2 linked regions of the Ovis aries genome follow. The protein of the gene in region 1 interacts with the protein of each later gene in a pairwise test. Links are inferred from orthologs where the notes say so. Each region holds a gene or a part of one and is shown on either strand. Other genes may lie near its edges. The genes, in order: WT1 and WTAP.

Region 1 (14,997 bases):
TGTGAGGCAGGCATACTTATGACTGCCTTATGGTCGTCATTTATCAAAGGAGAACTGAGGCTCAAAGACTTGCCTAGTGCTGACCTGCCTGATGCCCCCACCTCCACTCTGCCCCGCCCCTTTAATGGCTTCTTGGCATTATTTGAACTCTGAGCCTTGTTCTCTCACTGCTATTTAAACAACAGAAAAAACAATATGATAATAGTACAGACAAGAGTCTGGAGGTGAAAGAGAATAGTATGCCAGGGTCCCAAGAGGACCCCCACTCCTGGATTTCAGTAGTCCTGATAGTTCAGCCTGCAAATCCTCTTAAGAGGAGAGAAGGTGAAAAGAGCCACAGGAGAAGGGCTTTCAGAAAATTCCCAAGCAAAAACCGAAAAAAAAAAAAAAAAAGATTTCCTGAGGCTGGTCATAGAATCAGAGCACGATTTTAACCACATCCTGCCTTCTGCTGGCTGGGGCTCCTCAGTGGCTCAGCCAGGCAGCTTGGTTGGCACCATCTTCCAACTGGAAGTCAATGACAGTAATGACAATAGCTGCTGCTGGGAGAGGACAAAATGTGAATCTGAGCTAAAAATACCAGGCCCAAGCTCTGATCTCTTCAGGCGATCGGTCAACACCCAGCTCTCATCATGAAACCCCCCCACAGAAAGAGGCAGCACCAGTTAGGGAATATATGACCCCTGGCAAACAAAGCATCTAATTACTAAATAACCACTGTAGGTGTCGGCCACCTCATTCCCAGAGGAGATCAGATAAGCAGGTGGTTTGGCTCGCAGCAACCACAACGGTCACGTAGGCATTTCAGCTCCCCATCTAACTCTGTCTGCTCGGAAAGGAACGCTGAAATTGCCAGCTGCCAAAATATATTCCAAAATATATGGTCATGGTGTCTTTTATATTTTCTTTCAAGTAGATCTTGAAATTAAAAAAAAAAAAAAGTCACTGGTTTCCTATGTAAGAAATGTTTGAAGTTGGAAGCAAGGGAGAGAGGAAAGAAACTTCTATAACTGGGATTAATGCAAGTTGGAGTAAAATAAAAGGAAGTCAGTCCTAGCAAAAAGGGGAACTTAAAAGGAAGTCAGTAGTAGATCATATAGAGTTTGTTTTGGCCTGGACTGCAGGATTACTGAGTTCTCGACCTCTGCACAAAAAGAAAGGAAGAGAAAAGCTCTCTGCTATTATCTGGACCAGAACTCCCTCACTCTTCAAATGCATGTGTAATTCAAGTACATGTTCATCTTTAAGTGTGTTTAAGTATATTCAGAAGAATGAGGTAGAAACATTCTTTTTGCCACTGGAATGGGGCTGCCGAAGACTGATCACAACCTGAGTTGCCTCTGCCAGACGGTGGTTGTTGTTTAGTCACTGAGTCGTGTCCGACTCTTGGTGACCCCTCGGGCTGTAGCCCACCAGACTCCTCTGTCCATGGGATTTCCCAGGCAAGAGTACTGGAGGGGGTTGTCATTTCCTTTTCCAGGGGATCTTCCTGATCCAGGGATCTAACTCACGTCTCCTGCACTGCAGGCAGGTTCTTTACCACTGAGCCACCCAGGAAGCCCCCTGCCAGATGGTTATCAGCTGGCAAACAAGCATCTTGGTGGAAGAAAAGTGTTTCCCGGGGTGAAAAAAAACTCCCAATAAGAAAAGGGCATATGTAAGTGGCATCTGTGCTCAGAATTCAAGTTCCCAGAGTTTTCTGTAATAGCTTTGCCCCACACTTCTACCTGATAACCAAGGCCCATGCACAGAGGCTGCAGCCAAATTTCCACACAGACCTTTTCCTGCGTTCTTCCCTCCGAGGCGCCATGGAGGCGGCCTGTTCAATAATTTCTGCCCAGCAGGCCATGGTGAATAATCATTTTACAGTCAATCTCTTGGTATTGTCATTTCTCTCTAGCTCACCAGTGACCCAAAGAAAAACCCACCGGGGCTTTAACTTCTATTCATAAACACTTGATCAGCACAAAAGTTGCAGGAATATTTGAAACTAGGTTTTTCCCGCTCCCTGGAGACAAGTTCAAATCAAACCTTTCTTTGATAACACTGCCCACCACCCTGGAAACCATTTCAAACTTTCTGCCTTCATGTCTACCTATATGGGAAACAAGTATTGTCTTAAGTGAAGCTTGTACAGCATATCAAGTATTTGTAGACAAACATGTAAAAAGAGACATTATTATTATTTCTTCAGGTGAGAGCTCTTCTCTGATTTAATTCTACGCTGAAGGCCAACCTAAATGGCAGATCATGTACTTCCCACTGACTAGATCCCCAGAAGCTCTATAAGCTGCTAGAAGCTTCTCTCACATGAAAGATAATCCATATAGTAACAGACTCCACTGTCAACTTCATCTCTGGTGAATCGTCACCATTCAATCAAAAGTATTCAAATCAGCAACTACTGCTTCTGCATTTGAAGTTTTATCTGACAAGGGGCCAAAGGAAATAAGCATTCTCCTTTAAATTGGCAGGACAGTTACTAAAAATGGATACGCAAACCTAGTAGAAGAACAAAATGAAAAGGAAACTATAATGTCTAAAAAGATTAGTGCGTGTGGGAATATTTTGCAGGCCCAGAACTCCTTTTCAAAGTAGCTGTGAGAATCAACCCATGAAATGGGCATGGTCAAGGACTTCTGGCTTTAAGGGGCTCAGCAAGCAGCAGGAGAGAGGGGACTTGTGGAAGAGGATTCAAGGGACATGAGTAGGGAAAGCCCTGCTAGCTGCCTGTTGTAGGTCACCATCAGGAGAAAACTGTGCTTAGCGGGGTTGGACTTCACTACTTCTTCCCCTCAGAGGAGCATGGAGGTCCCACCTTCCCTGAGACCTTGCTCTGGGCAAGCAAAAATCAGGGAGGCCCTGGAAGCTGTTGCTCCCCCTGGGTCTGGATGGGTGAAGAGGAAGGTCTCTGCCATTTCAGTGTGTTTCTTTAGGAGCCTGAACTGAACTTCACTAGTTCTCACTACTGGTAAAGGCAAAGCTAGAGGAGTCTGGAGTTTGAAAGACGGAGGCTTTGTAAGTTAAAGACTTTTTGGAGTGAAAGCTCAAGTTAGCTCTTACAGTACTGACTGATGAAAATACTGCCTCTGATCCACAGAGCGATTTTGATTGAAAACTATGGATAAAACGAAAGGATAATGGGGTTTCTTTCACAGAATAAAGACCTTCCTCGAGCAAGACCTAGGGCAGACAGCACCTTTGGAAAGGAAAGGGCCCTTAAGCATCAGGACAGGCAGCCAGGTGCCGGAGAGAGGATGGATGCAGAGCCTCACACCTGTTTTGTCCCATACTGTGTCTTACCAAGCAAATTCACCTCCAAGGGCCTCAGTTTACTCCCCTGCAAAATGGGGGTGATAACCTACTGAAACTCTCAAAGTTTCAGATTAAATGTAAGTCTTACATTTAATTACAGATTAAATGTAAGATTAAGTGCTTAGAATGGTTTCAGGAGGTAGTAAGCTTATGTAAGCAATTATTAGCAAAGGTGCTATATAAGAGGAATATTTCAGGTGGAGGACAGTGAGTGACCTGGAATCCCTGTGGGCTTTAAAGACAAGAGAGACTGAGAATCAAATCCTAGTTCTGATTCTCATTGCTAGGTAACTTGGGCAAGTTACTCTGAGACTCTGAATCTATCTCTTCTTTAGCAGAGTGGGGATGGGAGTACCAACCTCAAAGGTAATCAGAAGAATTAAAATGAGCCACTTGAGTGGAGCAAGTAGCACAGTATGCCACAGCATAAAATATGCAATAAAGCCTAGCAATGATGTATCGGGGCTTGCGCTTTCACCCAGCTATGATCGCTGGGCTCCAGAAGGGCTGAAATCTGGCTCCAGAATCCTTAATGACCTTCAGAATAAACTCTGCCCACCCTCAATATGTGGGGTGAGGGGGGCAGAGAAGACAGAGAAAATGATCTCTTAACACTTCCCGTAAGTAGACTGGGGTCATTTTTTATACACTATTCATCACATCTGTATACAGCTATACCTCCTCAGATCTGTTACCTGAAAAAGAGGAGTCACTTTACAGTTCTCTCCAAATAGAGAATTTTGAGAATTTTCTCAAAGCAAATTCACATTGTGTAGTGCTTCTTTAATGTCAGTGTATATACCAAATACACTAACCCCAGACTAAATCCAAGACTGGGGAGACAGAAGCAGCTTTGGAAGGGCAGGGCAAAGAGTCCTGGCAGGCTGCCTTAGCAAGTGCAACAAGGCAAACAAAATACAAATTCAAAAAATACAAGCAAGCCTTTCCCAGAAGGTCCCAATGTTAGACAGAAAAGGGAACAGAGCCAGGGACCACTGAATACCTAAGTGATTAAAGTTTAGTTGCATTTCCTATGTTTTTCAAAACCTGTATTCACAAAAGCATTTAAATAACCTTTCAAACTTTTTTAGAAGTAGGAAAGAAGGAAATGACACAACAGTAGTAAAGTGGATGCACATATCCTAAAACATCCCTACACCTGTACATCCATCATTACTGCAGGGGAAGTATCTGATTTTTGAAAGGTGATTAGAAATATTGTGAATTTAGGGTGGATGGAGTTTCAAAGACTCAGGCAGCACCAACTTCAAGGGAGCAAACTTTTCCTACAGGGGTCACAAATTGTTTTTTTCAGGAGATGTTATTACTTAGAAGTTTTTCTATAACAAGAGAAAATGGTATTTTTATGACATTTATACAAAAGTGAGCAAAGAAGTTCCAATTATGTAGAAAGAAGAAAGGAATAAGCAAATAACTCTGAAAGATGAACCTGACAAAAGTGCTTTATACAGCAGCCAGTTAGAAGATGGATTAGAAAATGTGAAATTTTTTATGTATAAAAGGCAATCCAAGTGACTTTTCCTACTTTCATAGCAACCACAAATTCAGTGGAAAGTCAAAATCCACCACAGGGACTCAGTCTGGAGAACTGCTGTTAAGCCAGAGGTTGTGATCACTTTATCCCTGACTCCTTTCTAGGCTGTTCAGTCCCTTCTTAGAGACCCACATGGTGGACTTAGCCTTGGAAGAGGGGGGAGTAAGAAATGTGTGTAGCTGTGTCACTACTGAATCAGACTCCAAAGCTCCCCAGTCCCCAGCCTCCAAGGAGGTATCCCAGCCCATTTAAACAGCACCCATTCCAGCATCAAGGTCTTCCTCTCTGCGTGGGGTGAGGCATCAACCAAGAGCCAAGGAGGAAGGACTGGGCCAAGGTCATCCCACCAGGAACCATTTCAAAGCCCGTCCCACCCCAAGGCTAGAGTAAGAGCAATGCCAATCTGGAAACAGGCAGAAGCAGCTCCTTAAAAAAGATGGCAATGATCCCACCATCTCAGTTTTGGTTGGGGAGGTGCTGTACAACAGATATTTCAGATTCTGTACCCATTCCAGTGAGCTGAACCACCAAGGGCAAGTGCAGAGATGTCTGCCCGGAGCAGATCCCTGAGCCTGCTGTACCAAGAACAGAACTGGGTTCTACCAGCTAGGGAGGGAGACAGGAAGATGAGAAGGTGTGATCATTCAATCTGTGCCTGGGCAAGTGTTAGTAGCTCAGTAGTGTCCTGACTCTTTGCTACCCGATGGACTGTAACCCACAAGACTCCTCTGTCCATGGGATTCTCCAGGCAAGAATAGTGGAGTGGGTTGCCATGCCCTTCTCCAGGAAATCTTCCTGAACCTGGGCAAACTACATGCTTTATTTTTTTCTGCTCTCTCTCCCTTAAAAAAAAAAAAAAATCTAGTGAAGGTCGGGCGTAAAGAAAGAAAAAAAAATAAATAACAAACGTGATCTTGAATCCAAGATCAGATTAGATATGCCGGATTTCCCCAGTCAAAAGGAAAGGTTTCCGAAGTCTGTGTACTCTAGGCCTAGAGAAGTAGGTGGGCTGGACCCTGTCCCTCTCCAGGATGGGAGAATCAGACCAGTGTCCTAGGCTCGGTTTCCTAAATACTCCGGGGCGCTGGGGTTGGGATGAGCCGCTGTGAGCTCGGAAACGAAGACCCCCTTCCCCTCCTCCACCTGTGGGACTGGAGGGCCCCCAGGCGCGGCCATTCCTTCCACCAATCTCCCAGGGCAGGCGCTTTTCCTTCCTTCATTACCTCACTACCTCCTTCCCTTGACGTCAGCCCCGGGTCTTCCAAACGAGGGGAGGGAAGATGGAGATGAGTCTGGGGCAGTCGGTATCAGGATCCCCGCAGCACCGGGTCGGGGGTAGGGGGTGGAAAATGAGGTAATGCGCGCCCAATCCCCGGCCTCAAAAGGCCGCGAGCGGCCACTTCCCTCCCGGCTCCGGCGGGTGTAGTTACTAGGCAACCCTATCGGCGACGCGGGATGCCGGCCAAGTTCACCCAAAGTTGAAGAATAAATTTGGGGGAAGAGAAGGTGGAGGGTGGAGCAAGCGCCGAGGAGGCACGAAGGACAGGAAAAGAGCTTGGAGGGAGAAGAAGCTGGTTTTCCGCCTCCCGGGATCAGGAAGAAGGGCGGGCGCGGACTGGAGCTGTCTCCCCGGAGACACCGCAGCCTCCGGCCTGCAATCCCGCACCCCGTCCGGGGCTGCGGGGCGCTGCCGCACCCGAGCCTCTGGGGGACTGGGGTGGGGAGAAGGTGGTGGCTCGAGTGTACGCGCCCTCGAAATGGTCCCAGAGAAGGCTGGCGAGTGTGTCCAGCGCGCGAGGAGGGGGCTGGAAAAGGGAGACAAACTCGCTGAGTGGGTGGGAGTGGACCCCGGGTTTAATCTTTGATCCCGAGGAGGCTGAAGTGCTCCCAGCAAAGAGCCCTTCCCAAACAATAAAAATAAAAATAAAATCCTCAAAGTTCCGCTCTTCGGCTCCAAACGGTAACCGCCCTCATTGATATTCAAAGTAAGACCACCAGGAGACCGGGGAACCTACGTCTTTCAGATAGGAGCCAAGAGATGGGCTTTAATTTGCTTCAGGGAGCCCAGTGGGTTCGAGGCGCCTGTGGCCTCCAGGACTCGCACTCCAGGGCCCGCCAGCTCAAGCGCCCCCTCCGGGATCGCGGGGACCCAGACCCGGTGCGGAGCGCCTTCCTACCTGCTGTAGGGCGTCCTCAGCAGCAGGGCCTGGCTGCCTGTGCAGCTGTCGGTGGGCGTGTGGCAGCCGTAGACTGGGGGCGGCACGGAGTACTGCGGCTCCCCTGCAGAGAGCCAGGAGGGCCGGGTGAGCGCGCGCAGAGGGCTGGGGGTGCGGGGCCGCGGGCGGGGGCTGGGCCCCCAGGCTGTGCAGGGCGCACGGGGGCCTGGATGCCCGGGCCGTGCCGAGAGACGGGTGTCCAGATCACAGCGAGCTAAGCTTCCCCCTTTACCTTATTTTAAGCAGTCACCGCACAGAACACGGAAAAGACCCTCTGGACATTCGCAGTCTCGGCGGAGTGGGGCTAACAGACTTGGAGTGGGGGAAAACAATCTTTTCTTTTGAGATTAGGCTATTTCTAAAATTCTTCTAGCTGTCCTCTTCTCCCTTCCCCAATTTGCTGTGGGTTGGAAATTCCTGGGGAGGCAGGGGTGGCATGGAAGAAGGGGAGAAGCCCCCACCCCCACCCCGGCTTACCCAGCGAGCCCTGCTGGCCCATGGGGTCCTCGTGCTTGAAAGAGTGGTTAGGGAACTGGGCCGCGTGGTGCGAGGGCGTGTGACCGTAGCTGGGCGTCCCGTCGAAGGTTACCGTGCTGTATCCTGCGGACGAGGCCGAGAGAGAAACAGCGTCAGCGGGGAGTCAGGGACCCTGGGAACCAGAAACCGGGCGAGGAGCACCCAGCCCCGCATTCAGATCCCGCGCCCATCAGCCCCCAGGGAAGCCGGGCCCAGTGTGACTTCGGCTCATGCTCCCCGCCCTTTCCCGAGTAAACTCCAGACCTCCCCAGAGTTTCCCAATTTATTTACGCCCTTGTCTTTCACGACGTCCGCGGCTTCTGCACCGAACCTCGCCAGTATGAAAACTTTCAGCCGCTCGGCGGAGAAAGTCGTTCTCCCCCCCAAAACAAAACAGCGCGGTTCTCGCGCAGGGGCAGCGGCGGGCGACCACAATGGATCTGCTCGGCTGACCCGGCGCTGACTCGGAGCCGTAAATCAGAGGCCCGCGCACCAACTTTCATTAATTACTCGGGGCCAGTTAAACGGCCTGGGCTTTAAATGGGGGAGAGTAATTACTGAGTAATGTTATCTGTCTGAGGCTGCGCGACCCGACACCACTGACACCCAAAGCCCTCGGGAAAGCTGGTGAGGGGAAAAAAAGGGGGGCCTTTCAAGTTGGGCCCGCGGGCCTCGACCCTGCGCCTTCCTCCGTCCTTCCTCCGACCCAGCTAGCGCCCTGCGGATCGGACTGTGACCATCACTGTAGGGGCCGACTTCCTCGCGTCCCAGGCCGGGAAACCTTTTTGTTTCAGAGTGTGCCTGACAGTGTACTTCCCTTTCCATACATGGTACGCACGGGGTCCAATGCCTCAGTTTCCCTGCCGAGAAACCGAAGGCAATGTCGCGGCATTCTTCCCCAGCTTTCCGAAGGTGAGGGGGGAAAAAACGCGTGTTGGTGGTTGAAAAAACGTAGTCTCCTGTGATTACTGTCACCAAAGTACTTGAAACATTTACCCCACTGGCTTCTGCAAAACCGTAGCTGCCTCTGGGGGAAAAGCATCCTCCAGCTAAGATAAGGATCAGTTCTGAGTCCTGAACCCAATGGTGGGGTCCTTTCCTGGAGGCAGGGCTCCGTAGTCTCTGAACTGAGGTCCTGGCCAAGTGAGGAATATTAGTCCAGAAGCTCACACCAGCTCCCTGCAGGGCCACTGGGCTGAACCCAGTCCCCCCACCCCGCCCTCGCTGGGCCCCGCCTCTTGCACTGAGCTGAGCCTCCAACCACCCCCCCTCCTCAATTCTTGGGAGTAGGGTGAGTCAAACAACCCTCATTCTCCAACTCTTGCCCCAGGCATAATCAGGGCTCTACAACAAACGTCCCTGAAGACTTAGACTGAATAGTGAAAGGTAAAACCCACGTCTTTTAAACGCCCCCCCCACACACAAAAAAAACCAAAAACAATAACCAAGCTTCTACAGTCCACTTTGGGGAATGTGGTGTGTTAAAGAGCCGTAGGGAAGGTTGGAGCAGGTCTTAATAAACGAATTGTACAAGTCTTTCGCACCAGTTGGCGCCACAGGTTGACAACTTAAGAAGCCACCAGCTTTAGCAATTTGCATGACCCCAGAGGCCTCTATTTCTGGCCTGCTAAGTGGGCAACGATAACCCCCGGCCCGCTAGCTGTCAGGAGTGGGTGAGCACGCTGGCGCTTCCAGGCACTTCCTTTTGGGAACGGAGGCCGCGCTGTTTGAGGCCTACCAATCAGCTGACAAGCGAAATTTGGCTCGGAGCGCCCAGTCTTACAGGGGGAAGGCCGAATTTTGAAAGAACTGTTTTTTAAATAAAGAGGAGAAACAGGAGCGACAAAGAAGTTGTCTCTAGACGGACCCTTCTCCATTCCTGAGCCAGTGGCCGGAGCACCGTGCTGTCCCCGGAGACGGCCCCCGCCACCATAGGTGCGCGGCGAGGGCCAAGGGGTTGCGGGAGGCCGCTCCTGCGTGGATTGCCTCAACTCCGCGCCCCGCGAGGCTCCCAAGGCCCCCATCCCCGGAGAGGGGGTGCACATCGGTGAAAGCGCCCTCATAGAGGAGGGGAGAGGGCCCTTTAAATTAGAAGCTTATCGGATGCGGGACTGATTAGAGCGCGTGGTCCCGGGCCTTGCACTGAGCCAAGCGCGGAGAGCGCGGAGGCGGGGGCCGGGGGCCGGAGGAGAGACAGCTGCCGGCCAAAGGGGACAGCGTGTTCAAAGATTCCTTGTATTGTTACAGGCCTTAGAGGGAGAGGCTCGAGCGGCCAAGGTAGCGCCTTTCCCACGGTTCCTCTCGGCCCGGCAAAGCAGTGCAACCTTGACCGCGTGGAGCAGCGACACACGCTTTGCGCTTCTCTCCCCCGCCCGCCGCAGCGGAGGAGTCCGGGAACAGCATGGCCCGCGGAAGCTGACGGGTGGAGGGACAGCAGGCTCAATCAGGAAGGTGGTCCCAAGGGTTGAAAATGATGACTCCGCAGCTGCGGCAGCGGCAGCATACGGGAAGGTTATCTAGCAACGAAATACCCTCTCCAAAGCGACCCGAGGGGGGCGCCCTTGGCCCTAGGGCTGTGCTGGTGTCCCCCTGTGACAATAGGTGGCCCAGTGATAACCAGGTATCCTCCAGGGATAGGGTTCTGAGCGTCAGAGGGTCTGGGGAAATCGCTCAAGACTCTCAAGCAGTCTTCCTCTTCCCTTCCGAAACTTCGCACTTCAGTTTGGGAATGCAAGTCCTCACCCTCCTGACAAACTCCCCAAGGGTCACATCCAGGCTACAGTGGGTTCGGTGCCTGTCCAGCAGGGAAGAAGAAATCCATCTCAACATGGAGGCCAAGATCCCTAGAAACGGAGGTTGAAATAGCCTAGAATGGTCTGGGTTTGGGTCCAGGTTCGGCCAGAGAGAGATCTCCTGGACACCTTATCTCTTAGAGTCTAGATTTACTCCAGTGTCAGGCTGTGAGCTTCTTGCAAAGGATAAGACATTCTCTCTTAACATTCAGTCTCCAGTGCCTGGCACAGAATAAGTGCTCAATAAGTGTTTCCTGAATGAGTATTTATAAGCAAGATTAGAATACAGGTATAATTAAGAAACTAATAAAAAACTCAACTGAGGTATGATACCTTGGAGTGGGGAGATAAGCAAGAGTGCCAGCAATTGTCTCCTTCCCTGAGCCATTGAAGGTTGCCCTGCGTAGAGACTGGGATCCAGAATCTTTACTCCTCTCCCCTGGAACTGACCTTGGCCAGCTGATGGGCTGTGGGGAAGGAACTCTTGCCCTTGCTTTCCCCAACTCAAGCCTCCCGCCAAGACTCTACATTCCTGGGGGAGCTGCAGGAAGCCCAGAAATCAAGAGAATAAATCTGAAATCTCAGGGCCCAATCTGGTTGCCAACGCCAGGGCTGAGCCACGAGTGGCTTCTGACATCCCACCCCAACTCCCAGCTGCCAAGTGACTTACAGAGACTGGGCAAGCATGACCCCTTATGTTTTCATCACAAGAGAAAACCCAAGCCTAAAGACAGGAACCAGCTTACAGGCTGTGGCCTGGGTCTGTGGCCTCTCTACTGAGCAATTTCCCAGAATGTTGGGGTGGGGGAGGCTCCTTTACCTATTAGTCGTGGTCCCCAGTTCCCAAGCCCCTTTTCTGTTTGACATCTCAGGCCTATCCTCTAGAGAGGAATTAAGATTTTTCCCCTTACGTGTAGTGCTGGCTGGCTAGGAAGCCCACAGTCTCAACCCTGAGACTTGAGTTGATGGAAATCTGGGCATCAGATGACCCTGTAGAAGTTTGGACACAAGGACCCAACCAAAGCCACAGAGTCCTGGTTCCAAAAACCCTACAGAACCTAGATGGACTCAAAATGATAATGGTATTTTGCACACGGGGTACTTAAATGGTTTCTAAGGTGTCTTCAAATAGCACACTACCAAACAGAGACTCACTCACCTCATACACCTGCCTGCCAGTCTTGCTCTTTTAGGTCCAACCAAGTTTAGGTGGCTGCTGCCTTCTGTGTTTAGAACCCGGGTTGGGGGGCGGGGGCGGAGTCGGACTTATGTAGCATAGAACTTCAAACCAGAGTCAGACATCAGGTTGGGCGTCTTGGCTCTCTTACAAGAAAGAGAAACTGAGACCTGGAGATTTACCAAAGGTTACACCAACGTGCTAATTAGATGTGGTACGATCAGAGAACAAGAGTCTGCAATCCTCACTGAGATGTTCCAATACTCCATGAGTTCCAAACACTAGTTTTCCTTCACGAAAGACTCAGAGTGGAGGGACCTCATGGGTGGGTTTGAGGTTTTCCACAGGACATGAATCCCAGATTCCCCGAACGAAGAGAAGAGGGTGGTTTCGGTTTCGCCAGAGCTTCTGGCGGGCCAGGTGCTCTCGGCTGGGTGTGAATGGGGTCGCGCGAAAGAAGATATGCGTTTAGAACTTGCGCGGGAAAGCGGGAAAAACACCGCCCTTCTTCCGCGCTCCTTGGGCGCCCCAGCACCTCCTGCAAACAGTATGCACTCTTCTGCTCCCAACCCACGCATTCCAAAAACAGACTAGTCCTAGGCCCGAGCGAATTTTTGCTCTAGGAAAAGCATCCGCTCCTGCGTTTTTAAAGCATCTCCTAAAACATCGAATCAACCAGAATTGGTTTAGGTTCACAACAGCGCATATGTCTAATAAACAAAATAAAATGCAGAAGTTCGGCGTAATTGATTCTGCTTTGGTCCCTGAGAAAAAGCGGGCGACGGCTCAAGATGAGAAACCTACAGCTGTGTCCCTTGCTGTACGAGGACTGAAAACGGAAAATAAACCTCTCTTTGTTTTAACTTTCAAGTCTTGCAAAAATCTTTCTCCAGCTACAACCCGGGTTCAACGACTAGGAGGCGCCTGAGGCGGGCTGGAAGGAAGCCGGCGCTCTGGCCTCATTTCATCGCCTGTGGTAGGACCCTGTCGCGCAGGGTTTGGAATCGGATAAACGGGGTTCTCCTCCAGCCCTGGAGCCCGCGTGGCCGCACCTGACCTGGCACCCAGGAGCTATCCACTTCTACACTACTATACACTGGAGCCAAACGCAAACAGGGACATGGATCTAGGAAAGCCACTATTTTGTCTCCAGCTCATTCATTTACTCATCCTGGGGCTCCAAGGTACTTATGGTGCCTCCATTAGGGCCAGAGGGGCTCCTGGCATTTTTGGCGGGCAGACGCAGCAAGGGCTGCTCACCACGCGCTGGTCCGACTCCGAATCCAGGGTCCTAAAACGCCAATGCTTGCCGACAGTTTGGTGGTGCCTTAGGCGACAAAACCTCTTCCCGAGGCAGAGTCAGGCATTGCACCGGTTCCCGCTTCCCATCCCCACGGGGAATAGTCTGGGAATTTCCTGGGGTCCAAGGGCCCCCAGATGACCTCCCGGCTCATGCGAAGGGTCCGGTTCCCCGGTTCCCCGCCCTGGAGGATGTCGGGAACCCACGCCGTGGACTTCCTCCTCTCCCCGGGCCTCCTGTCTCCCCCAGCTGCGGCTTCCTCTACCCTCACAGTCCTTGGGGAGGCGACCGGGTAAGAGCTGTGGTCAGGGAAGTGGTAGGACAGGGGAGTGCCCGCGCGCGGTCACAGCCCAGCGGCCACCGCCCCGCGTGCAGGGGGCGCTCCCCTGCCCGCTTACCCTGGTTGCGAATAGCGGGCTGGCTCTCGAGGCAGCTGGGCAGGTAGGGCGCGTTGGGGAACATCCTGGCCTGGCCGGACGACGCCTGGCTGGGCGGAGGACCGAAGGGTCCGTAGCGACAGGCTCCAGCGGTGCCGGTAAACTGGCCAGAGAAGTGGACGGTGAAGGCGCTCAAGCACTGCTCCTCGTGCGGCTCCGCGCCTCCCCAGCTCGGCTCCTGTTTGATGAAGGAGTGAGGCGGCGGCGGCGGTGGGGGTGGTGGCGGAGCCGGCGGCGGCGCAGGACCGCCCAAGGACCCGTAAGCCGAGGCGCCCGGGGGCGCAAAGTCCAGCACCGGCGCCCACTGCGCCGCGCCGCTCACGGGCAGGGCGCAACCGCCGCCGCCGCCCAGCGAGGGTACGGCCGGCAGCAGCGCGTTCAGGTCCCGCACGTCGGAGCCCATCTGCTGGGACTCAAACCCGGACGTTCCGCGGGCCCTCCGGCTTTGCAGACGCTCGGCGCTCGACTCCGCCTCGCCTAACTTGGCCCAGATGCTTTCCGGACCCCGGATCCCCGGCAGCTGGGGCTGCTGAAGGCACCCAGGCGCGGGCCGGAGCGTGTGCGAAGACGCCGGCTCCGGGGCACACGTGGACGCCGGCTCTTGCCGCAGGAGGAAGTCCAGGATCGCGGCGAGGAGGCGGCGGGGCCCCGGCTCCTGGGCTGCCGTCCGGGCTCTGGGTGGGTGGGTGAGTGAATGAGTGGGAGGGAGGGAGGGACGGGGGGAGCGGATAGGCGGTCGAGTTGCAAGAGCCCCCGGGTGTGGGCGCTGCCTTGAACTCCTTACCCCAGCTGCCTGGCTGCCCCCAGCTTCTCAAAGCTCAAATAAGAGGGGCCGGCGGCGGGGGAGGAGGAGGAGTCAGGAGTCTCGGCGGCTCCATTCACACAGCAGCCCTAGCGGATCCAGGCAGGGCGCGCGACTCCTTGGGGGCGTCCTCGCAGTGGGGGTGGGGGGCGGGCCAGAGGGAGCGTCCCTCTCAGAGACACCCTCCTCTCCTACCCGCCACGCGCTCTCCGCTGGCCTGTGGGACACAGGCCTCCCCCCCCCCCCAACCTCCCCTTCTCGGCCTTCGCGAGTGTGGGCGCCTCGCGGCACTGGCGAGCCGCTCCAGGTGAGCAGGGAATGTCCCCCCTGCATCCCTGTGTGGTGAGGGTGGGGATGGGGTTGTTAGTCGGGGAGGGCGGGTTGGAGGGAGGGGCGGGGGGCTCCACGAGGGCGGGAACTTCGGAATAGCTGCAGAGAACTTTCCTGGACTTCAAAAAGGCGGATTCCTTGCTTTGCGCCGGCGAGTCCGGCTCTTGCTTCAAGAGCCGTCAGACTGGACTGGTGGTCATAATCTCAGAGTCACTGGGGAGTGGGGTGGCTTTTTGTGGATTCCAGAGGCCAGACTCAGGCGTAGATGGGTGACCTGGAGGTTGCATCAATTTAATAAACGGAGCGTAATTCCATTGACTGGCGACATGGTGAGGTTTGCGCCCAGAGAAAGGCGGTTTCCGCGTACCTGAAATCGGTGCCAGCGACACTTCATCTCCCTTTCTAGTGAGGAGTATCTAACTCTTCGACGGTGACGCCGGGAAAACAGAATGGCGACTAGTTTGGGAGGAAAGAAAACCCTTAGGGAAATGCCCAGATTCCGGTCGGAGAATCCTGGCGCCGAGTGTGGAGGGTAGGGAGTGAGGAAGGTTTGGATA
Region 2 (14,534 bases), on another chromosome or scaffold:
TTAATAAGGAAAATTAATAAGAATTTTATATTAGGATTGGTTCTTCAGTTTTATAGTCTTCTTTACTTACAGAAAACAATATTTCTCAATTTACAAAGCAGTTTCATCTTATTAGAATATCCTCATCTTTAAAAACTTCACTTTGAAATAATTGTTAATTCATAGTAAGCGGCAAAGACAGGCACAGGGAGGTCTTGTGTACTCTTCACCCAGCCTCCTTTGACGTTAACATCCTGTGTAACATTACCAAAACCAGCAGGCACAGTCTACATGCTCAAATTTCATCAGTTACCTGTACATTCTGTGTGTGTATAGTTCTGTGCAAGTTTATCATTTGTAACTTACTGTAAATACCAGCGCAACCAAAACAGTTACCTGAACCATCACCACAAGCCTCTCTATGCCACTCCTTTCTTTATAGCCACATCCATCCTCTCCCACTCTATCCTCAACTCCTGGCAACCACTAATCATTTCTTCATTTACGTAATTATGCTACTTCACAGATGTTGTATACATGCAATTATGCTGTATTAAGTGTCCTTTCAGTTTTCTCTCAGCATCATTTCCTTGCGCTTTCTCCAAGTTGTATTTGCTGGCGGTCTGTTTCTTTTTATTGCTGAATCATACTTCATGGTATCATAGTCTACCATTCACCTGTTGAAGGACATTTGGGTGGTTTCCAGTTTCTGGCTATTACAAGTAAAGCTGCTGTTAACATTTTTATACAACTTTCTGTGTGAAAATAAATTTCCATTTCTTTGGAATATGTGCTTAAGAGTACAAATGTTGGGTTGTGTGGAACATCCATTTTTAGTTTTAAAAGAAACCACCAAATTACCTCCAGAGCAGCTGTATCATTTTACATTCTCAGCAGCAACATATGAACACTGTTTCTCTGCATCTTCACTCCATATTTGGTATTGCCACTATTTTTTTATTTACTTATTTTAAAACTTTTAGAAAGAGCACTTAGTTTATATCTTAATTCTCTTCGTAGGTTCGACTGAGTGAAACAGACTTCAAAGTTATGGCACGAGATGAATTAATTCTAAGGTAAAATATTCTTTTATCAAAAATATAAAATCTTTCTATAGAGCATTACGTTGTGATTTTATACTATACTGTTTATATCAGATACTGTTGCATTTTTAATGTTAACACATCTTCAAATCATTTAATATACTTTTTTCTATGGCCTGTTTCTTCGTTGTGTAAACATTGGGGAAAGCATAACACTTGAAAGAACTAAAGCACTAGCTTGGGTAACTTGTAGGCTGACAAGTAACCTGAATTTTTTTCCTGTAGAGGGCACATATTCAGAACTCTAACTAGAGAAGCATTTGTACTTCATGTATATAACTTGGTATGGGGAAAGACACTGCTCTCAGAAAGCTTTCAGTTTAACAAATGAATAGACTTGTTTTGATGTTTCTGTTTTTTTTTTCCCCCTTTTCCATGTAACATGTGGAAAAGTTGTAGCCTTCAAGGATATTTTTCTCATGAAAGAAATACATTATTAAAAAAAAAGAGAGAAATACATTATTTACTGATGAAGCGAAGTTACTCGTCTTGTGACTGTGACTTTAGTCACCATTATATCCTTCATTTTTTTATCTGCAAGTTTAAAGAGTTGGATTTAATTACTTTTAAAGACGACATCCAGCTCCGAATTTCTATGGTTGTCTTAAAAATGTCTTACTAAAGCAGACAGTCAGGTACAGCATTATATTACTCATTTTTTAAATGTGAGAAATCAGAAAATGGGATCACACATTTGTGTTTTACAACTTAAATGTATTCTTTCTGCATTTTATCACTGTCGTAAGTTTTTTATGAAATAACTTTTAGATACAAATTAATGCTTTTCAGGGTAGGCTGCAAGTTTATTGAGCTTTTTCCTCTAGAAATTTCAGGGAATGTTTACTTGCTGAACTGAGTAAATGTAACGGGTTGGAAGTGGGGGGAGAGTAAAGGTGGTTTGGGCTCAGTGGTAGAAAATCTGCCTGCCAGAGCGGGAGGTGTGGGGTCGATCCCCAGGTCGGGAGCATCCGCAGAGGAGGAAATGGCAGCCTACTGTAGTACGTTTTCCTGGGAAATCCCATGGACAGAGGAGTCTGGCAGCCTACAGTCGATGGGGTTGCGAAGAGTCAGACGCAACTTAGTGACCTAGCACACACGCATACACAACAGGGAGACACAGACGGCGTGCTCCATTGTTAGTTAAGAGTCTGGTAGCTAGTTCTGCTTAGCGCCTCTATTGTGGACGTGCTCTTTCTCTTTCTTTGCCATCGTCTCATGCATAGGATAGTTTTCCTGTTGCATACCTTTATATTCCTGCACATAAAATTTAAATACTTAGCATTTTAAATCACTCTCGCTGTTTTTGCTGATGTAGATGCTCGTGACACACTGCTCGTGTGTTGGTGTTCTCTTTCTGTCTCTGGTATGGTTATGACTTTTAAGTAGTTTTTTTCCTATCTTCTCGATAAGGATGTTTGCGGTTGAGCTTTTGTATTTGTCTTTTCTTCTAAAATCTTTAACCTTCATAGAACATCTTTTTTCATCCCGAAACGTTGAATGAACTCCTGTTTGTGACCTTTGTTGTAGATGCCATAAAAATAAGCATGCCCTTGGCTTTGTCTTTATATAGAATGGATTAGTTTGATATTATGGAATGTTTTTGTTCATTATGTTATAATGTTTATGAATCTCGTAACTCGTCAAAGGTTTTAAAAATTATAAAAATATTTTCTAAAATCTAAATTTTGATTAGGTGTAACTGAAGAGCAGCTTGAAAACATATTTCTTCAGCAAGCAAGGTAGCAGACAGCTTACTGTCCGGAGCAATTGCTTAAACATAAGACTAGGGAAGGTTTGTTATCTGCAGTAGTTGCCTAGATCAACTAGGTGTGTGTGTGTGTGTGTGTGTATGTATGTGTGTGTGTGCGTGCGCGCTCAGTTGTATCCGACCCCATAGATTGTAGTCCACCAGGCTCCTCTTTCCATGGGATTATCCCATCAAGAATACTGGATGGGTTGCCATTTCCTTCGCCAGAAGATCTTCAGATCTTCCTGACCCAGGGATGGAACTTCAAACTCCTGCATTTGCAGGCGGATTCTTCACCACTGAGCTACCTGGGAAGCCCTGAGAGGTTGTTTTTTTTTTTTTAATGGCTACACTGGGTCTTTGTTGCTTCATGCAGGCTTTCTCTAGTTGAGGAGAGCGGGGGCTACTCGCTGTTTTGGTACACAGGCTTCTCATTGCAGTGTCTTCTGTCATGTAGAGCACAGGCTCTAGGCGAGTGCAGCACACGGGTTCTAGAGAGTGAGCTCAGTAGTTGCGGCCCATGGGCTTAGTTGCTCTGAGGTGGTGGGATCTTCATGGATCTGGAATCAAAGTCGTGTCCCCTGCATTGGTAGGCAGATTCTTACCCACTGCGCCACCAAGGAAGTCCTAAAGCCTATATATTGAAGGTAGAGGAATGCAATGAAGAAAGATCCAGATAGCGTATGGCACTTAATGCAAGTTGTTTCTGCCAGTTAGATATGCTTTTGAAAAACAGTATGTTCTGTTTTTTATAATGTACAAAAAGGACAGATCCCCTTTTTTATTACTTTGAGAGAAATCACATACTACTTTCATGTAAGAGCTGAGATCACCTTCAGTCCCTTAGAATTAGGCACATTTTTAAAATGCCTTTTGTTTGAGGTGGACAGCATATCTGAAAAGTGGTGGTAAGTTTTTCGTTTACCTTTTATCATCCAGGCATCATGCTGAACATCAGTGATACACTGTCCTGTATGGTGTGTGATCTGACTCATGGGAACACCTCTTGTTATATACTCAGCAGAGAACACTTTTCTCTATATTTCCATTTATCTAACGCCTATAAGGTCAAGAAGGAATAATTTTAAAGTGACTAATTTATTATGGTTTATTATGGGTTAAACTAGATTTATAATTATCTTAAAATAATATGTGTGTGCATGTACACTCATTCATGTCTGATTCTTTGCAGCCCCATGGACTGTAAGTCTGCCAGGCTTCTCTGTCCCTGAGATTTCCCAGGCAAAAATACTGAAATGGGTTGCCATTTCCCACGACAAGGGATCTTCCTGACTGAGGGATTGAACTGGAGTCTCTTGTGTCTCCTACATTGACAGGCGGGTTCTTTACACTAGTGCCACCTGGGAAGCCCCTGTTAAAATGAGAGAGACATTAAAATCCACACAGTGGAGTTCTTCGTAAAATATAAAGTTAATGGATGTGATTTTCTAGTGTATTTAGTAAAAGCAGTTTAAACATAACTAATGTGGCTTTATTTTTATTAGGTGGAAACAGTATGAAGCATATGTGCAAGCTTTGGAGGGCAAGTACACAGATCTCAACTGTAAGTTAGAGCTTCAGCTTCCTAAGGACTATGTGAATATTCCCTTTTAGATTGTTGTTATAAGCATAGTTGGTTTTGCTAAGTAATTTTTATTCGAGGATTTTATTAAGGACCTATGTCCAGGCACTGAGTTTGGTGCTAGGAAGTAGAATGATGAAGGAGACGTGATCTCTCTTTTAGTTAACAGTCATTGGAGAAGACTGACATATAGTAACATCACTTAACAGTAGCATGACTTCAAACTGAACGACAAGGTTCTGAGAGTGCACAGATAGGGAAATTCACAACTACTTGACACTTTGCTTAATGTAGCCCTTCCACAGAAAAATTTGAAGTGAAGCATGAGTTATTACTCTAGCAGGGGGGAATGTAGAAGCAACCAGTATTACATTTATGATAGCTTAAATTGTAACAATAGGATATAGCTGTGTATTTATGGATTTTTCAAAAATCTACTGAAAATAATAAAGTTTATAATTTTAGACCATTTTAGTCTTTGTCACTTTTCACTGAGTTTTAGAGTAACATATTATTTGCGAGTGTAAAAACCAGTACAGTTTTCCAAGTTCAGAAAGATTAATATTTTAAGATCTCAATTATTGTATAATTACAGTATAATCCATAGAAGTTGTGAATGGTGGTGTTTAATGGCTGAGTCATGTCTGATTCGTTTGTGACTGCATGGACTATAGCCCTCCAGGCGCTTTCTGTCAGTGAGATTTCCCAGGCAAGAATACTGGAGTGGGTTGCCATTTCCTACTCCAGGAAATCTTCCCAACCCAGGGATTGAACCCGCATCGCCTGCATTGGCAGGTGGATTCTTTACCAGTGAGCCAACCAGGGAAACCCCTGTGAAAGCTTAAAATTAATAATTAGCTGTGCAGTTATGGGCATGTTTATATTGATTAGGTTAAACAATACTAATCAGGACTTTGTGAATACTTGGTAGTGTAAACAAACGCAAATAATGGAATTTCCTGTCTTTTTTGGGAACAGATTAGACTATAACAGCATAATTCCATCTAGCGTTAAGTGGTTGTGGACCCGTTTAACACCACTAACTCTTGAAAAAACACTCATGATCAAGAATGAAGTTTGTTGTCATAAAAGTTTAGGATAGAAACTAAAGACTTGAACTTCTTTGCCTTGACAGTTTTTTAACCTTATTTTCCTTGACAAAGGGAGTCAGAACTTTAATTTGGTTAATTCAGTTTGATCTTCAAATTATGTTTCATGATGTTTGGGATTTTTTTTTTTCCTTTTAATCATCAGCTAATGATGTAACTGGCTTAAGGGAATCTGAAGAAAAACTAAAGCAGCAGCAGCAAGAATCTGCACGCAGGGAAAACATTCTTGTAATGCGACTAGCAACCAAGGAGCAAGAAATGCAAGAGTGTACTGTAAGTGTTTCAGATGTTTCAAGCCTTTATCAGGGTTTGGGTTTTGGTTCACATTATTTTATGTGTTAACTCACATTAATTTTAATAATTAATACTAATTATACATGCACATTTTGTTAAGGTAGATATGTTTTGAGCTTCAATGTGCTAAATGTAAAATTCTGATAGATAACTTCTCATCATTGGATTTAAAGTAGTTTTTGTGGCCAAGAAGTCAGAAGTTTAAGTTATTCTCTGAAATCTCTATGAGAATTAGTATATTGGTTCATATATCTTGAAGTAACATAATACCTGAGGGTATAAGCACCATTTACTCATTTTACTTGGCAGGCTTTCTTGTTAATTTCTCCTTTTCTGTCTTTACCTCTTTCTACAGAAAACTAAGTATCAACTTCTACTGTGTCTTCTTTTAATTGTTAACACCTTTCATTTGTACTGTTTGCCATGTCTACATATATCTGAAACCTAGTGACATATTTGATCCTTTGACCCTGGTTGAATTTAGACTCAGTTTTGTCTTCAATAGCCTTAGCCCTTGTTTTAGTGTTTGTATATGTAAGTTACATAAGATAGAGGCAACTCTATCCCTGTTGTTTTTTATTACTTTTTTTTTTCCCCCCATTTTCGGGCCATGCCACGCAGCTTGTGGAATCAGACTTCCCCGATAGCTCAGTTGCTAGAGAATCTGCCTGCAGTGCAGGAGTCCCCAGTTTGATTCCTGGGTTGGGAAGATCCCCTGGAGAAGGGATGGGCTACCCCCTCGAGTATTCTTGGGCTTCACTGGTGGCTCAGCTGGTAAAGAATCCACCTGCAATGTGGGAGACCTGGGTTCAATCCCTGGGTTTGGAAGATCCCCTGGAGAAGGGAAAGGCTACCCACTCCAATATTCTGGCCTGAAGAAGTCCATGGACTATATAGTCCATGGGGTCACAAAGAGTCGGACACAACTGAGCAACTTTCACTTTAAACCAGGAACTGAACCCAGGCCTCTGCAGTGAAAACGTTGAGTCTTAACCTCTGTGCCACAAAGGAATTCCCTGTTGTTTCTAATCTTAAAAGCTGTAGTTTTCTTGAATAATTTTGTGTAATTTCCATTTGATAGATAGTTATTAAAATATAATGCATAAGGCAGTATTCTGGTCATTGGAGGTTAATAATCTATGGGGCACACTTCTATTTCTTTTCCTTCTCTCACCAATAAAATGTTCTTTAGGACTTAGTCACAGTCTTTATTCTTCCTGTGTCCACATTTGCACAAGTCTTCAGTCCTTTCTTCACTTTTTCGAAATGACTTTACCTATTACTTTGCTAAAGAAAAGAGTAGCCTCTTTTATTGTCTGTATCTTCTCAGTGCTTCTTTTGTTTCTACCAGTTACTTTCCACCTTCACTGCCACTACATTTTTTCTGTAAGGTCATTGTATTAAGAAAATTCTCTTTCTCATCACTTTTATGTCTTCACTTTCCCCAGCTTTGGCTTTTGGCATTCCTTCTTTTGATTTTTTTTTTTTTAACTTGGGTACTTGGTTCAAAGAAGTCTTAACAACATTCTTGTATAAGGGGTTTTGTTTTGTTTTCTGTGACACCCCTCCAATTTTTTTCCTCTTGGGATTTTCACATCTAGTGGTATGAGTAGTACTACTCAAGTGCTGAGTCCCAAAACCAGTTAATTCTTTCTTTTCCTGATATTTAGGATTCTAGGTTCAACCCTTCACTCACTGTTAGTTTTAGGTTTCCCTGTTGACACGGCACTGTGCTAGATGCTAACACATGCAAAGGATGGATCTTAACTTCCAGATGCAGGCACCTGGTAGGTAATGTGAGTGGGTGGTGCCAATGATAGTGTCTCACAAAACCAGTGTGTCTTGATTTCTGCCTCTTGAGTCCTCCCTACTCTTGACATCCTAGTCCAGGCACTTCTGAACCACTTAACCTGGACAGTATGTGCTGTTGATTCACCTCAGCGATTCTACAGCCATCCCACATACACTGGCAGTTTTGATCATTTTATTCCTAATCTAAGCCTTTGGTGCTGCCTCTTCACCCTTCTGTCATCTCAACAGAGATTTAAGATTTTTTTTCCAAGTAGAACCTAACTTACCAGCCACATTTTTTTTTAATAACTCTTCTCTGCACATCTCAGCCGAAGCACTTACTGATCTTTCAGTTAGAACACAGTGAGGTTTTGCAGAAAGGGCAGCAGGAGCAAAAATCACAAGGAAGTGGCAAGCTTATAGTAGCAGATAAGGGCATTTCATTTTGTGAACTTTTAAAATTCCTTAAGCTAAAAGAAAGAAAATTAGTTCTGTTTGCTTGATGAAGTAGTAATTAAGTATAGCCTAATCCTCTTAGTATATTTGTATCTTTTACTAAATTCATATTAGACATTAATAGCTGTTTTGGAAATGTTATTTTTAATCCTATTTAAGGTTTAGAATGGAGTAGGATCTTGAACCTGATCTACTTTGGGTGCGAAGAAAGTGATGCATTTAATGCTAATAAACTGTATTTCCTATTTTAAAACTGTGCTGACAGTACAACCAGAGTTGAAATTGAAGGTTTCATATATAAGTAGACGGATTTGGTGTGGTGGGAAAAGCCTTAGACTGGGAGTCAGGAAGCTTGAGAATAAGAATTCTAGTTCCAGTACTGGCATTGAACTAACTGTGTCCTTGAACAATTGGCTTCTTTAATCTCTCAAAACTAAGCAGTTTGGACCAGGTCAGTCACCTTTCAGCTTTACAGTGCTGTGATTCAAGTCTGCTTGGAGGGAAAAAAGTGAATATATGCTTAATTTTGGGTTAAGGTGCTATTTATAAAGCTGTAATGCCAGCTCATGTAAATATGTAAGTACTATGTATTTTTAAATTTAGAAATGCAAATATGTTTTAAGTTGTAATCTTGTACTTGGTATAATGTTAGGGAATAGTTTCCCAAAAGCACAGATTTGTATGAGTAAATCACTATACTCTTATTAAATAATTAATATTTTAAACTTTGCCCTTTTTTTCCCCCAGTGGGCATCAGCATTTTAAATAAATACAGCAGCGGGGTTTTTTTGCTTGTTTTTTTGTACTGTTTTGATTGCCAACATGTAGTCTCCTTATATTTAAAGTTTCCAAATATGGAATGCAGTCAAATGGCCTTTTTTCCTACGTGGATAACTTTAAATAGTTTTGTGAGTGTTCTTTTTTGTGGTTGTTTTTTTTGCTATGTTTTGGGAGGTTTTTTTTGCTGCAAGTCTTCTGGTATATTACTTCCCTGACCAGGTATTGAAATCAAGCGCTGGCAGTGAGAGCAACTGAGTCCTAACCGCTAGATTGCCAGGGAATTCCTAAATAGTTCTTAATTTGTACTTTGTTTTAGAGGATTTTAAGATAGAAGGGAGAGGGGCTTAGTAAGCAAGTTGGTAAACCAGTGAAAAAGGGATTTTATCTCATCATCTTAGGTATGTTTCCTTTGATTTGGTAGTAATGGGGTCTTTTTGCTTTGCACAGACTCAGATCCAGTACCTCAAGCAAGTCCAGCAGCCTAGCGTTGCACAACTGAGATCAACAATGGTGGACCCAGCGATCAACTTGTTATTCCTAAAAATGAAAAGTGAACTGGAACAGACTAAAGACAAACTGGAACAAGCCCAAAATGAACTGAGTGCCTGGAAGTTTACGCCTGATAGGTAAACAAATCATACTCCCCAGTCAAGACTTCCCTGACAGTCCCACTGCGAGAAAGCTGTGGTGGGACAGCCACGTACTCGTTTCCACACCAAGACTCAGACTTTTTGAGCCAAAAAGCCACATTCTTATACTATCCAGCTTGTAAAGGTTAATGTAAAACTTACCAGATGAACCTTGTGTTTCAGCTTTTTTCTCTTCCCCTTCCCCTTGCTTCAGAGGCTGATGGCGTCGGACTATTCCGAAGAAGTGGCCACCTCCGAAAAATTCCCCTTCTAGAACATGTAGACACTTGAGAAATGTTTCTGTTTGAAGAAAATACAGGGAGAAACAGAAGTCTTAAGTCTGTGGCACACTGTGTCTTCAGACAGTTTGGAGGAATGAAAACCTAGAGATTTAAAACCATGAATTGAACATGTAAAATTCCAGTAAATGTAAAGATGGAATATGCATCGCTCTTAACCTTGAGCATAGTGACTTAGAGACACTGTATATCAGTTTTGCCAATAAGACCGTGGACTTCGTGATTGTTGTTGAACTTCTGGGTCACACTCAAATGAGGTGAATTTTGCCTTTAAAGGGTTTATTTGCTAAGAACCAACTTAATAGTCATGAGTGAATCAAATAATAGATGTCAGTACAAGTAGTTCATCTATTTAACCATTTCGTTTGGGGCTCTATATTACTTGATTGAGCCTTAAATCAGTGTGGTTTTACTCAATGATTTGTTCTTTGAATGGTTGCTAATACTGTAGATAATCTTACCGAGGACTGTACAAACATGAAGGTGTGGTGTCAAACTTCAGGTTTTAAACTGTTTGAAGCGTTATAAACATTCATTTCACAACTAGATTGTATAAGGATATTGGCTGTGATGAGACTCACTGCGTTATTTTTTTCAGTAGTGAAATTGATTAAATCCCCATTCCATTCAACAGGCACATGTTGAAAGAGCATTGTCGTTGGTGTTAATGGGGGAATGTGTTCCTTCATTGTATTTGGGCCTTTTGTATTGCACTTTTGATATTAAATTAAATGTGCCTTGAAATAGTTGTTTTTTTTTTTTTTTTAAGTTCAAGGATTACTATGATGATTTTGTTGTACTTTTAACATTTTGATTGGGGGGCGCTGTGGAGAGCAGATTGATTCAAAAAAATTGTTGGTGTGCTCTTCAAAGTGAAGGAGAAAGCTCTGTGTCTCATTTTTTAAAGACCTACTTTTTTCCAGCTGGTATCATAAAAAAACAAAGAGACTTGACACTTGTTGCTTTTTGACACCTTGTCCCAGGATATTGCAGTAGAAATTAATGTGGGACAGCTTTACAGGGTGCCTGCCAGAAGATTGGGGACAGAATATATTGGAACTGTGGGCTGGCCTAAGTGAGACATTTTATGAATTGAAAAAAAAAGTATAGTGATCATTTCTAGCAAATTCATTTGCTCATTTAGATAAATGAGGCATTATTTTCTTCATGCTTCCATCCAATCCTGGAGGTGAATTTTTCCGTCAGATCATTCTATAAGTCACCAATTCGAATTTTCACTTGGTGATAATGGAGTCTAAGATGAGTGAAGATAAAATGTTCCAGATTTTCCCAGCGTTTAAGTGCAGTTTTAACAAGGGTGACTTAAGTTCTCTCTTAAATCATTCCAATCAATTGTAAGTATCTCGTATGTCTGTACTTGAGGGAACTGATTGTGGGGCAGAGGGCGGGTTGAAGAAGTGGTTTGTGTGACTTCACAGCAAGAAATCCGCTTCTAAGATTCTCACTGTGGGGGTTGGAGGGTAAGTAACCACATCTATTTGAAATTAGCTTATTGTACCCGAATTAAGGCTTTTGTATATATTTTATGCCATTAAAGATCACAGTAGAAATGGGCTACATATTTTCAGTAGGTCGAGATAATTCATAAAAGGTATTATGTACTCAGATTTAGCCAAGCATTTTTCTTTTGCCACTTAAGTAACAGTCACATTGAGGTGGGTTTTTTTCTTCTTATTGTTAAAAAACGTTTAATTAATAAGATAACACATGCTCATGTATAAGATTGAAACAGCGAAAAGTCGAGGTGTAAAATAAGTTTTACTCCTGGGTGACCTTCCCCTTCCCCTTTCTGTTCCCCAGGAATAGTGACCATTTTTAAATTTCTTGGGTATCAAGATAATTTGTATGCATTTACAGTAACTATATGTGTATTGGTTTTAATCAAATGCGGACATGCATATGTATATACAGATGATTTGTAGCATGACTTTCCCCAGGCCCCCTTTATCCTTGGACTTTTTCTCCATTTCTTAGTATATTTAGGTTACTTACCATTTTTAATGGTTGTATAATATTTTCATTGTATTATTTTAACCACCTATAAATGGAATTTTGTAAAAAGTGAATTATAAGCTAGAGTTCATTGGGTGGTACAACTGCATCATTAATTTGAAACAAACAGTGCTCCGTCAATACTCTGTCTGCAATAATTCAAATAGAATGGGTTGTGTGGGTTTTGTTTTTCACTTTTTCATTGTTTAAATTTTGAGAGAATGATCCCCTGAATTATGTTGTCCACTTTAGTTAAAATATTTCATACCCTGATAGTGTGTATATTTTAGAATAGTTACAGGGAGATGTTGCAGAATTTTGACAGTTTTCAGCTTGCATTTATAAACAGTTGTGTGTGTATACTTTCAGAATACCCTCATCCCTTCCCCTTGATAACAAAGCAGTGTACAGTATCTGTTCCTTCTCTTAAATTACTTGCTACTTTTTTCTTTGTGAGTTATTTGATTTTTAGCAATAGGTTAGAATATTTTTTAATTAAAAAAAAAATTACTCCAGAGCCGAGTTCCTTGAAATTGGATTCTTACCATTTTTTGTGATATAATGAACACAACACAAATTTTATACAACAGTAAAGTGGCATAAAATTAAAGAATGTTTAAAGAAAAGATTCAGTGAAGATTTGTTTTAATTATTTTAGAAGTGATAGGATTCTTTTAGAACATTCATTAAAAGGCGTGACTTCATAAATGAAATATTTTTTCATTAGTATTTGGTACTTTCTAGGAGGTTAAGTCAGGTCACAAATTGCTCTATTGATTTTACAATTGTTTGTGTTTAAAAAATTGATATAAAAGATTTCTCAGGTTAGTTGGTAAACTGACGTTTTCACAAGAAAGCAGAGTTGGGGGAAGCATAGGCAGTGAAGTGGAAGGAAGGCCACTGTCTGTGATGATAGTGCCTGTTTCTCAATTCCTCATTTGGTTTCTAAACTCTTATTCAGTAGAGGGTAAAGTCTGAGGATGCTAATAGGAAATACAGGAAATCTGGAGCTGTGATGACAACAAACAGATACCAGCTGATAAGTTGCCATGTCGAGAGAGAACCCTTCCCACATGCTAACTCATTTTCATATGAGGCTGCTTTGTGCAATAGTAAGCCAGGTTTTGGGCTTCCCTGGTGGCTCAATGGTAAAGAATCCCCTGCCAATGCAAGAGATGCAGATTCGATCCCTGGGTGGGGAAGATCCCCTGAAGAAGGAAATGGCAACCCACTCCAGCTTTCTCGCCTGGAAAACCCCATGGACAGGGGAGCCTCGTGGGCTACAGTCCATGGGGTCACAAAAGAGTCAGATACGGCTTAGTGACTAAACACCACCAACAACCACCACCAGGTTTTACTTCAGATTTGTGTAAGGAAAATATATCACAAACGTTCACTTGAATCACATTGGGTTAAAACGTGCTATTGATAAAAGAACCTTCCATCACAAACCCCAATAACAGTGTCTCAGTAAAACTTTACTGCTTTTGTTTAGTGTCAGCATTAACAATAGAAATGATCACTTTTTTAAAGAGTTCTGATTTAAGCATACAATTGTGATGTTACCTTAGAGACTTGGAAAGGGACAGTTTGATATTCTTACCATAAAGTTGAGAATGATCTTACTGATTAAAATTTTTTTTGCTGACACTGTTCTTTTAATGGGCTTTGATTTGCCCGATACATTACTTCACAATACATCTTCTTCTTATTAGTAATATATAGAGGATGAACCTTGATTGATTTTTGCAATTGCTGTATATATGTATGTAGAAAGTATGGCAGTCCTAATTTGGCAGATATTCACATATTTGCATTATTTATGCTAAGTAACCCCAATCTTATTTTTGTGTCCTAATTAAGGATAATCTTTTCAACATGAATAAAATCTTCACCGTATATCAGCATTAAAATTTCAAAAACATATCCCAGTTTAAGACAGCTCAAATATATATATATACATATATATATCATATAAAGTTAATTGCGGGATTGATAAATAGAAATAGTCTTGAGTCTTTTTAAAAACAATTACTGAACAGGCCTCTCTTAATGCGATAAACATTCTTGTGGGAACTGCCTATTAACAGGTATCCTTACAAACACTGGTCTAGCAAGAATTTACTCTCATCTGTGTATTTATAGGTACTGATTTTATATATTAGGTAGAAGTTTACATTTGGGGTTGATGTTGCATTTACCCTTTCAAGAACTTTTCTGTTTCATAAAACTAAGTACCTTAGAGTTGTATTAATATTGATATATTTGAAATGTGTGTCAAATAACTGGCCTGTTTCTATTTCAAATTATAATTTGGGATAAAAGTAGATTTCAGAATCAATTATAATGTAATAGAAACAGAAAGTAGTCACTTAGGTACTTTTTCTTCAGGTTTTATCTTTGCCGCTGTATTGGCAAAATACTGAAATGTACAAGATGGATGTGTCCGGAAAAGAAGATGGTAACTGTAGGCAGGCGTCTGCTGTGACATAGAGTTATGTTCTGTATGTGTTTTATCTGTTGCTGTGATAATTTCAAACAAAGAAGGTTGTCAAGAATTTGTCTTCATTTTGTGATGAATGGCTCTTTCCCTTGCAGCCAAACAGGCAAAAAGTTAATGGCGAAGTGTCGAATGCTTATCCAGGAGAATCAAGAGCTTGGAAGGCAGCTGTCCCAGGGACGTATTGCGCAACTTGAAGCAGAGTTGGCTTTACAGAAGAAATATAGTGAGGAGCTTAAAAGCAGTCAGGAT

The links.
Region 2: the proteins of WT1 (region 1) and WTAP interact in binary tests that used the Homo sapiens proteins (3 or more experiments, as listed by UniProt). The link is inferred for Ovis aries from reciprocal best matches to the Homo sapiens genes WT1 and WTAP.

What each region holds. Positions count from the first base shown.
Region 1 is NC_056068.1:61,977,974-61,992,970, forward strand, and holds the start of WT1 (Wilms tumor protein), read right to left. Parts: upstream 8,748-14,997; 5' UTR 8,645-8,747; coding exon 8,599-8,644; intron 7,945-8,598; exon of another isoform or gene 7,894-7,944; intron 7,687-7,893; coding exon 7,564-7,686; intron 7,151-7,563; coding exon 7,048-7,150; intron 6,194-7,047; exon of another isoform or gene 6,094-6,193; intron 1-6,093. UniProt on the Homo sapiens protein: Transcription factor that plays an important role in cellular development and cell survival. Recognizes and binds to the DNA sequence 5'-GCG(T/G)GGGCG-3'. Regulates the expression of numerous target genes, including EPO.
Region 2 is NC_056061.1:83,754,305-83,768,838, forward strand, and holds part of WTAP (pre-mRNA-splicing regulator WTAP), read left to right. Parts: intron 1-999; coding exon 1,000-1,055; intron 1,056-4,334; coding exon 4,335-4,393; intron 4,394-5,665; coding exon 5,666-5,793; intron 5,794-9,288; coding exon 9,289-9,467; intron 9,468-14,380; coding exon 14,381-14,534. UniProt on the Homo sapiens protein: Associated component of the WMM complex, a complex that mediates N6-methyladenosine (m6A) methylation of RNAs, a modification that plays a role in the efficiency of mRNA splicing and RNA processing.